2 linked regions of the Sus scrofa genome follow. The protein of the gene in region 1 interacts with the protein of each later gene in a biochemical or structural test. Links are inferred from orthologs where the notes say so. Each region holds a gene or a part of one and is shown on either strand. Other genes may lie near its edges.

Region 1 (4,252 bases):
ACCAGTTACCAAACACTATACAAGTGTGACTGCAAAATATACCTCGCTAGCATTCAACCAAGTGTGTTCTCTCCCAGACTTCTTAGCTGAGTCCTCTAAAGCCTGTAGTGTCAACCAACTCAGTGGAAGTTTGATGAAGGGGAAATCAGAGTAGCAGTTGCTTAGACCATCTGCAGCTCAGCTAAAGGACCAAATGTGGCATGAAAGGGACTCAACTTCATTCCTCATCAGGAAAATTCATATTAAAACCACAGAGAATCCCTGCTTTATGCTCACCAGAAAGACTAAAGTTACAGAGACAGAAAACTTCAGTGAGCGAGCTAAGGGTGTGGACCAACTTACACACTTGCTGATGGGAGTGTCAGTATAATCCTTTGGAAAAATGTCTGGTGTAACCCGTTACACCTAAACACATTCGTCCCTCATGTCCTAATATTCCACTCCTAGGTATGTCGGAAATGAGGACGTGTTTACTGAAAACACTATAGTATAATTTTCATAGCGTCACCTCTGAACTAGAATCCACCCAGATGCCCACCGACAGGCACACAGATAAATACATGTGGTATATTCAAATAAGTGACTATCATACAGCAAGGAGTTAATAATCTCTAGCAACATCCAACAGTGTGGCTAAATAATCTAAACATAGTTTTAGTGGAGGCTTCAAGAACAAATGAATAAATATCTTATTATCTGATGTACACAAAGTACAAACCTGAGCACATCTATTCCCTGTGGTCAGCTGTGTGGGAGGGGGAGAGGCGGGGGGGTGACTGAAAGGGGGTCTGGGGCTTTCCTGAGAGAGTGCTGTTCTTGGCCTTGATGCTTTTACCATGTGTGTCTTCCCTTAGAGTCTTTTTATGCATACTGCATTTCAATACAAAGTTTAGAAAACCCAGCATTTCAATTTCTTGATTTTTGAATGACTAAACTCATTCATGCCTAAGGAGACTGAGCCTATTGCTTCACACATTTTTATCACAATCCTCTAAAGATTAATTTCATGAACTTTCAGGAAAAGCCGGCCCCCAAAGCAGCCAGCACTACATTCTTGGCAAAGTTTTTTCCTGTTGCCTGGGTCTTGATTGTGAAAGTGTTGCCTAACCTCAGGTTCTGTAAATGATTTTTAAAAGAGCTTTTATTTACTTTTTAAAAATCTTCTGAGGTTTACGCACAAAAGATCTGCGTGGGGGTTGAATAACTGGAGATCCAGCACATTCCAAGCACCTGCACACTTCCGACGAAGACCACGCCTGGGTTTATGAAAACAAATCCAGGGCAGGTCACAGCATTAACTTTCAGTGGGAGTGAAGGAAGAATAGGTTCAAACACTGGCCCTGCTGGGGCTTGCCGCTGATTTTTTTTTTTTCCCCCACTCTGCAGAAGTTGCTGATGGGCGGGGCATCTAGCAGTCCCTTTAATTCCAGAGCTGCGTTTCAGTTTCCTTTTGCAGCAAATAGTTTCCTGCGCTTTTCACAGTTTTGAGCAGAGCAGAACCTGACACAGTGTTGAACACTCAACTCCTAGATGTACCCTGAACGGTCCCCAAAATGAGATGTCCAGCAAAGTTTGTGTGGCTAATATTGTGGACTGTTTGTGTTGCAGAAGGTAAGAGTGAAAATAGAGAAGACTTTTTTTTTCTATATTGCTGACATTTGCTAGCGTGGGTTTTTGGTGATAAAAATTTGGTCTAGAAAATGTGATCCAGTTACTGTTCTGCAGCTTAGTGTGTGAGAGGCTTTTGACACTGTTCAGTTTAAAAAAAGATAAGCAGCTTATTCGAATGGCATATCTGATTACTCATAATTTTAATGTGAAATTTCAGAAAATGTTTTAATAAATATTTTTTAAAACTGTAAGATGTCAAAATCATTGCCTTTGTAATTATCGTAAAGTGTAGTTTACTCTTTTTTGCTTAAAATTTTCACCCGAATGCCTTGTGTAGAAGTACTGAGAACTATGTGAACATCCATAGAACCAGAAAATAAATTAGACAGTCAAAGCCTTCAAATCACAGTGACTGGAGTTGTTTCAGATAGAGATGTTAACTCTTCCTAAAGAAAGAGTTATTTATCGTTTACAACTGATATTGCCATGGCCTTAAAAGTCTTGGAGATGAGCGTCACCTGTATCATTAGAATGAAAATATATGAAATTGAAAAAATCGACTATGCAACCTTTATAAAAGTAGCTCAGTTGGGTTTTTTGCCCTATGGCTATGTATAAGCTATCCTAGAAGAACCTTTAGTAGTGACTATGCGTGTAGGCAGGAGTTTCTAATATCAGTAAGACAATTTCTGGATAATTTAGTTCTATCACCTTTTCTTAATGGATTAAATAGTTCCTTCTTGGAGGAAATTTGATTTCCTAGTTCAAGATAGGTAACTAATTGTGTAGTAAATATTTGATGGACTTTTTAAATGTTATCATTATAAATTTCCAATATTTTTCACCAAATCAATACATTTTGATTGATGACTCTTTCAAGTCAGGCTCTAATCAGTGAGGAATATTAACAAATAAAACAAAACGTCTGTCTTTGAGGGACTTTCAATCTAAAACATAAAGACGGATATATTTTTTAAGTTATATCCTTTAGTAATTTCATTTTAGGTTTTCCAAAATGTGCTCAATGCTTTTTGAAAGATAGAGCCTTTTTCAGTTATATATGACAATAAGCTCTTGCTTGATTTTTAGCATGTAAATCTTATATCCAGCCACCTTCTTAACTAGGTATACAGCCATTTCCCTGTTCATAAAACTGTTACAAATAATACTAACTGATATTACGACACAATATACCAAAGTATGATTGTACTGGCAAAGAGTTCTGGAACAATGTTAATCTTACCAATCTCAGCAGACATCCTTTTCTTTAAAGTGTTTTTGTCTTTTCTCGAATTTAGGAATGCTTTTAGTGCCTCACAACTAACATATTGTTTGCCGAGGTCTTATGTAGATTGCATTTATCATGTACAAAAGATTTCTTTTGTTTCTTGGTCATGTTTAAAACTAAGAATCCTTGCCAAGTTTAGTTACACTGTTTCAGTGATGACAAAGTCATATTTGAAATAGAGATTAAAATTGGACACCACAAAGTATAAGTGATAAAAAAATTAATAATAGCGATGTAAACGTCTCACTTACCTAATTGATTCCCGCTAATTTCACTTGCTTTTTTTTACATTTCATCAATGTATGTCTAAAGGTGACATCAGTTTTCTGCTGGTGAATTGGGCATTAGTGCTACACACATAATGGTGAGAATGGCCATAAATCTGACCACTTCCTAAAGTATAACTTTAGTATTTAAAGCAACACTTAAATGCTCATAATTTTCACAAAAATTATGAGCCTCATAGTTTTCACAAAAGCACACACAATGCACAAGCTAATAGAGAAAAAATTATATCACCTTTCACTGGATATAGAACTGCTATTTTATTCCTCATTTACCAAATATTTCTGAAACTAAGTTCGTTGAAATGCCCATCAGTTCCACCGTTGTAGCCCAACCTCACAGAAACTTTACTCAACAGAGTGGCCTTGATCATTAAAAATATCCATATATATGTCAACGTCTGCCTCTGTTTTTGTCTCCCGCGTAGAAATAAGGATGGAATACAGATAGAGGCTGAGAAATACTGAATGGAAGATGAATGCTGAAAGTGAGAAACGGAGAAAAGACAGTTGTGTACACTATCAGCGTCTTCTCTCCTCAACTAGATACTTACAGCATCTCAGCATTTCATAAATGGTCTCTGTGCTGTGCATAGTGAACATTCCTCAAAAAATACTACTTGCTACCAAAAAGGACTAGAGGTCAACATGATAGAATTTATAAGCTCAATTGCCTACTTTCCTTCCCTTTTTAAAAAGATACTAGAGACCTAGTATCTTTGAGTTTAAATACAGTAGGTCGTCTGCATTTAACATTTCTAGTTGTATAGAAATGGAACATGAGTTGCTTCTTTGTAAAAGGCACGGCTGGAGAGTCACCCCAGGCTACTAAGAATCTGGTCAGATTTACAAAGTTTAGAATAACAACCCCTTGGTTATACTACATAGTTTCTGCTTTTTGGAATATCTTGTAACCAAGCTTTTCAGGAAGACCTTTGAGATTCAAGGTCCAGAAAGCATATACTCTGCGAAATTAGCCATGGCCCAGAAATTCAGGGCAGATTAAAAATAAATAAATGAAAACACAGCTGAAACATGTTCAGTACATGCTGGCTATTTGTTTAAAGAA
Region 2 (4,320 bases), on another chromosome or scaffold:
AGGCCAGGGATCGAACCCAAAACCTCATGGTTCCTAGTTGGATTCGTTAACCACTGCGCCACGACGGGAATTAGCGAATTCTTGGATCTCAATGATCTTTAGTCTTTGTTCCTCAAACTAGAATAGTGATTGAATGAGAGATTTTTTTTTTAAATTCAAGTATAGTTGCTGTACAATATTATAAAATTTACAGGTGTACAATGTAGTGAGACACATTCCTAAGATTATACTCCATTTACAGTTATAAAATATTGGCTATACTCCCCATGTTGTACAATATATCCTTGCAGCTTATTTTGAACATAATAATGTGTACCTCTTACTCCCTAGAGTGAGCTTTTTAAACCCCCACATTTGACCTCACATCAATGATCAGCTATCACAAAAGAGAAGCTATGCTCATCAGAGAGAATCCCTATAGGAGATTCTAGGAGAGGTTAGAGTGCCAATAGGTATGTTATTGCAGGACAGGTAACAGCAGGTCTGAACTCACAGGGACTTGGTTTCAGAGGATCATTAGAAAAGTTGGTCACCGCTTCAAATGCAACCATTAAAGAACAGCTGAAACTCACTAATGTAAACGAGGGCTTTATTAGTTCAGTAAGTTGGGACGTCCAGATACAGATCTGGTTCTGGGCAAGGGTGACTCAGAAATTCAAATGGGGCAGTCAAAGCTGCCTGTCTGTGCTGTCAGTCCTTTGGCTCTGCTGGTCCCAGCTTGGCTTCTTTCCTCATATTCCTTCTCCATGTTTAAATGAGATGGCTTTTGGAGATCTCAGGCTAATACCCTCATAGCTTGGAATTCCAGCAGGAAGATGTCTCACTCCCAAAGTTCATAAAACAATCCTGGGAAGACTAAAATTGGTCCTTCCAGGAACATACAATCATCCCCCCCAATCTCCAAATAGGATTGGGGCTACTCTATTAGGATAGCGTGGGTCACAGCCACTCTGTGGCCTGGGTATGTTGGGGAAAAGGTGGAGTTTGAGAAGAGTTTCCCGAAAGAACCACAAAATTAAGAAATCACTGTGAGCAAACAAAAAACATGGCTCTGTAAGACCTTGGCACTAATAATTACGGTAGCTACATCTAAATGCTCCACTTTGTCTAGGGAAATAGATAGGTCTTCTCTACTAGGGCCATTCTGATTGCCTTTCTGGGGTACTTTGAGAAATGGGAAGAATGTACAGTATTGCTAGGTTTCCCATTTCTTTTTTTTTTTTTTCCTTTTTGTCTTTTGTCTTTTTTAGGAGTTCCCATTTCCAAAGACCTGGCCCAATGTCATAACTCTGAGATGGAAGGGCAAGTCCCTCCTACTTTCTAGGAAGTCTTGGGTAGGAAATTAGGTAGAAGACAGCACACCTTTCTCAACTCAGAGAAAGATTCTCCTTGTGACTTTAAAAAAAAAAAAAATCAGTTCTCCTTTCTGGGTCCCAATTTTCTCATCTACATGAAGGAAAGGTATTGTCTCTAAGATTTTTTCAACTTAAAAAAAAAATAGCAATAACAGAACCAAACACACCTGCAATTCTGATCCTGCTGTAAAAACCAAAAACCAAAACCAAAACTTCTCAATGTAGTTCACAGCCTCCCAAGCCAGACACTTGAATGCCCTCTCTGGCACTGAGGAGGGTAGAGCAGGGATGTGAGAGCCTGTGTTCACAGAGCTGGCTTGCAGTGTGTGTACAGGGGCTGGGGCCAGTCTAGAACCACAGAGTGCAACTGTCAGGAAACACCTCCAGGACCACAGCGGCATGGCCTCAGGGCCACAGCTGGGGCTTGACATACACCTCGCCACTCATTTCATAACTCAGCGCCCGCCAGTTAAGGACATTAGGACTGAAGGTCCCACCAGCATAGACAGTGCTAATCTCCTCTGGTGACAACACATAGTCCCACATGTTCACATCTCCAATGTCCCCCACCAAACACTGGTTCTTCTCATACTCCCCAGCGAATGTGTCCTGCTCCTGCCCCAGGATAATGCTTGCCTCTGCCTCCACGGAGGCTCCCTTCTCCAGGCTCTTCCTCACCTTGGGCTTCCCGTCCACCCAGAACTCTGCAATCCCAGAGGCGGACTCCCAGCTGGCACAGATGTGTGTCGGAGCTGCGGTGTTTTCAGGACTCTTGAATAATACCTCAGTCCCACGCACTCCAAGAATATATCCTCTGCCCTTAGACCAAAATATGAGGATCTCGTTAGGTTGTTTTTTGGTGGCATAAGAGAAAACGCTGTACCCACGGGTTGAGGCCAGTTCTGAGTAGATATGGAGACACACGGTAAAGGCCTTGAGTGGCTTCTTTAACTGCGCTTTCAGGGACACGTAGGAATTATCCGACTCTTGGGGAAACACAAAGGCCTTCTTATGCAAGTCTGTGAGATGGAAAACAGAAGAGAGAGGAGAAATTTCTCAAATCACAAAGATCTATTCCTTACATATAGAATTTGGGCTTGAGAAATAGACTGATTGTTCCTCAGTTATGCGCGCGCACACACACACACACACACACACACACACACACACACACACACACACACTCGTCTAGGCTGGATGTTCCTCTGACTTCACCTTCATCGTTCAGATCAAATCGCTGGCATAGCCCCAGGTAGCCCCTACCTGACTGGCCAAAAGCATTGGAGAAGCTGATCAAGACCAGGAAACACCACAACTGCTTCTCCATGTCACTCTCTGCTGCCAGTGGTAACAGAATATGGATTCACCCCCTTGGAGAAGATGCCTTTGGTTGAAAGCTCAGGGACTAGAAGTCCTAGATCCCTCCTCTCAAGACTTGCCCCATCCTGCCTGGATTTATACCCAAGGCAGTAGAAGCGTCTGTGCCACTATGTAAATGACTTCCAATTCTGCTTCTCGCAGTGTCAGGGCTCTGGGAGGAAGGGAAGCAACATAGTTCCAGAACAGAGAAATCGATGTGGGTTATTTATTACAAACTCCTGTGACTACTGAGTCACCTCTGTGACAGGAGAAATGAAGAAGCTCTCCAAGGACTCCACTTTGGCTGTCTATCCTGTGAAATAATGGAAAATCTTATCTTAGTAGAAGAATAGCCATCTGATTGCACATGATAGCTGCAACTCTAGCACCTTCTTCAGCCCAAGTCATTGGGTCATTGGGTTTTCTGGAAGAAAGCGAAGAGCCTCTGGAGCTGACCATCATGGCTCACCCTTTACAGAGGCCTCTAGTTGACAGATTGGGAAATGCTGAAAACAAACATGCCATTTTCTGAGCCAAGGACAAATTTTTCTTAGCGCATTGAATTTAATTTTTAAGAAATCTCTGGTGCAGTGAAACATGTGCTTGATCACAAATATACCATATGCCAATGTGTCTTCATATTTTCTCAATATGTCAGGGTTTAGGGAGGTGTCAGGATGATCTGACCCTGCCATTTCCTTTATTCACAAAATTCAAGTAGTTTCTCCATGATGCCTGGCAATCTTAGTACCGTTCCCTACTGAAATCACCCTTCAGGATGATTATTTTTCTCCTCCTCTCTTCTTACCCCCAAATCTCATCCATTCTTATACTCAGCATTCAAAATTTTTTTTATTTTATTTTTTTGTCTTTTGAGGGCCACACCCTCGGAGGTTCCCAGGCTAGGGACCAAATCAGAGCTGCAGCCACTGGCCACAGCCACAGCCACAGCAAATCGGGATCTGAGCTGCACCTGCAACCTACACCACAGCTCACAGAAACACTGGATCCTTAACCCACTGAGTGAGGCCAGGGATTGAACCTACATCCTCACAGATACTAGTCAGATTTGTTTCCACTGAGCCACGATGGGAACTCCCAGCATTCACTTTTTCTTTATTGAGAAATAGAAGTCATCAGAGAAGAATGACCATACCTTTTGTAGCAGGGGCTTCTAGCTCCCCAGTGTCCATTCTCCACTTCTCCTACAGTAAGAGTGGCATTGGTGGTTGGGCACATGGTCACCTAGCCAATGAATTTCCCAGCCTCCCTTGCAGCTGGGAATGAGAATGTGAGTATGTTCTGGCCAGTGAGATATGAACAGAAGTAAGAGGGATGATTTCCAGGTTGTGCCCTTTAAAGTGAAGGCATCTGCTCTACCTTCCACTTCTCCCTTCCCTTTGCCTGGTGTGAGGCATGATGATAGGAGCTAGAATATCACCTTTGACCACCGTGGGTAAGATGCACGCTGAAGCTGGCAGATAGATGGAGCCTGGATAATTGGTTCTGGAACCGCTATAACGGCTCTAGACCACCTACTCGAACATTAATTTGATCTTCCTATTATAAAGGCTAGCTGATAACCTTACACATCCTCCCACTCCAA

The links.
Region 2: the proteins of CFH (region 1) and CRP form a complex in vitro, tested with the Homo sapiens proteins (12 studies listed by BioGRID and IntAct, with this or other methods). The link is inferred for Sus scrofa from reciprocal best matches to the Homo sapiens genes CFH and CRP.

What each region holds. Positions count from the first base shown.
Region 1 is NW_018085100.1:2,467,490-2,471,741, forward strand, and holds the start of CFH (complement factor H), read left to right. Parts: upstream 1-1,214; 5' UTR 1,215-1,553; coding exon 1,554-1,611; intron 1,612-4,252. UniProt on the Homo sapiens protein: Glycoprotein that plays an essential role in maintaining a well-balanced immune response by modulating complement activation.
Region 2 is NC_010446.5:90,781,304-90,785,623, reverse strand, and holds CRP (C-reactive protein), read right to left. Parts: upstream 2,884-4,320; 5' UTR 2,683-2,883; coding exon 2,619-2,682; intron 2,375-2,618; coding exon 1,761-2,374; 3' UTR 573-1,760; downstream 1-572. UniProt on the Homo sapiens protein: Displays several functions associated with host defense: it promotes agglutination, bacterial capsular swelling, phagocytosis and complement fixation through its calcium-dependent binding to phosphorylcholine.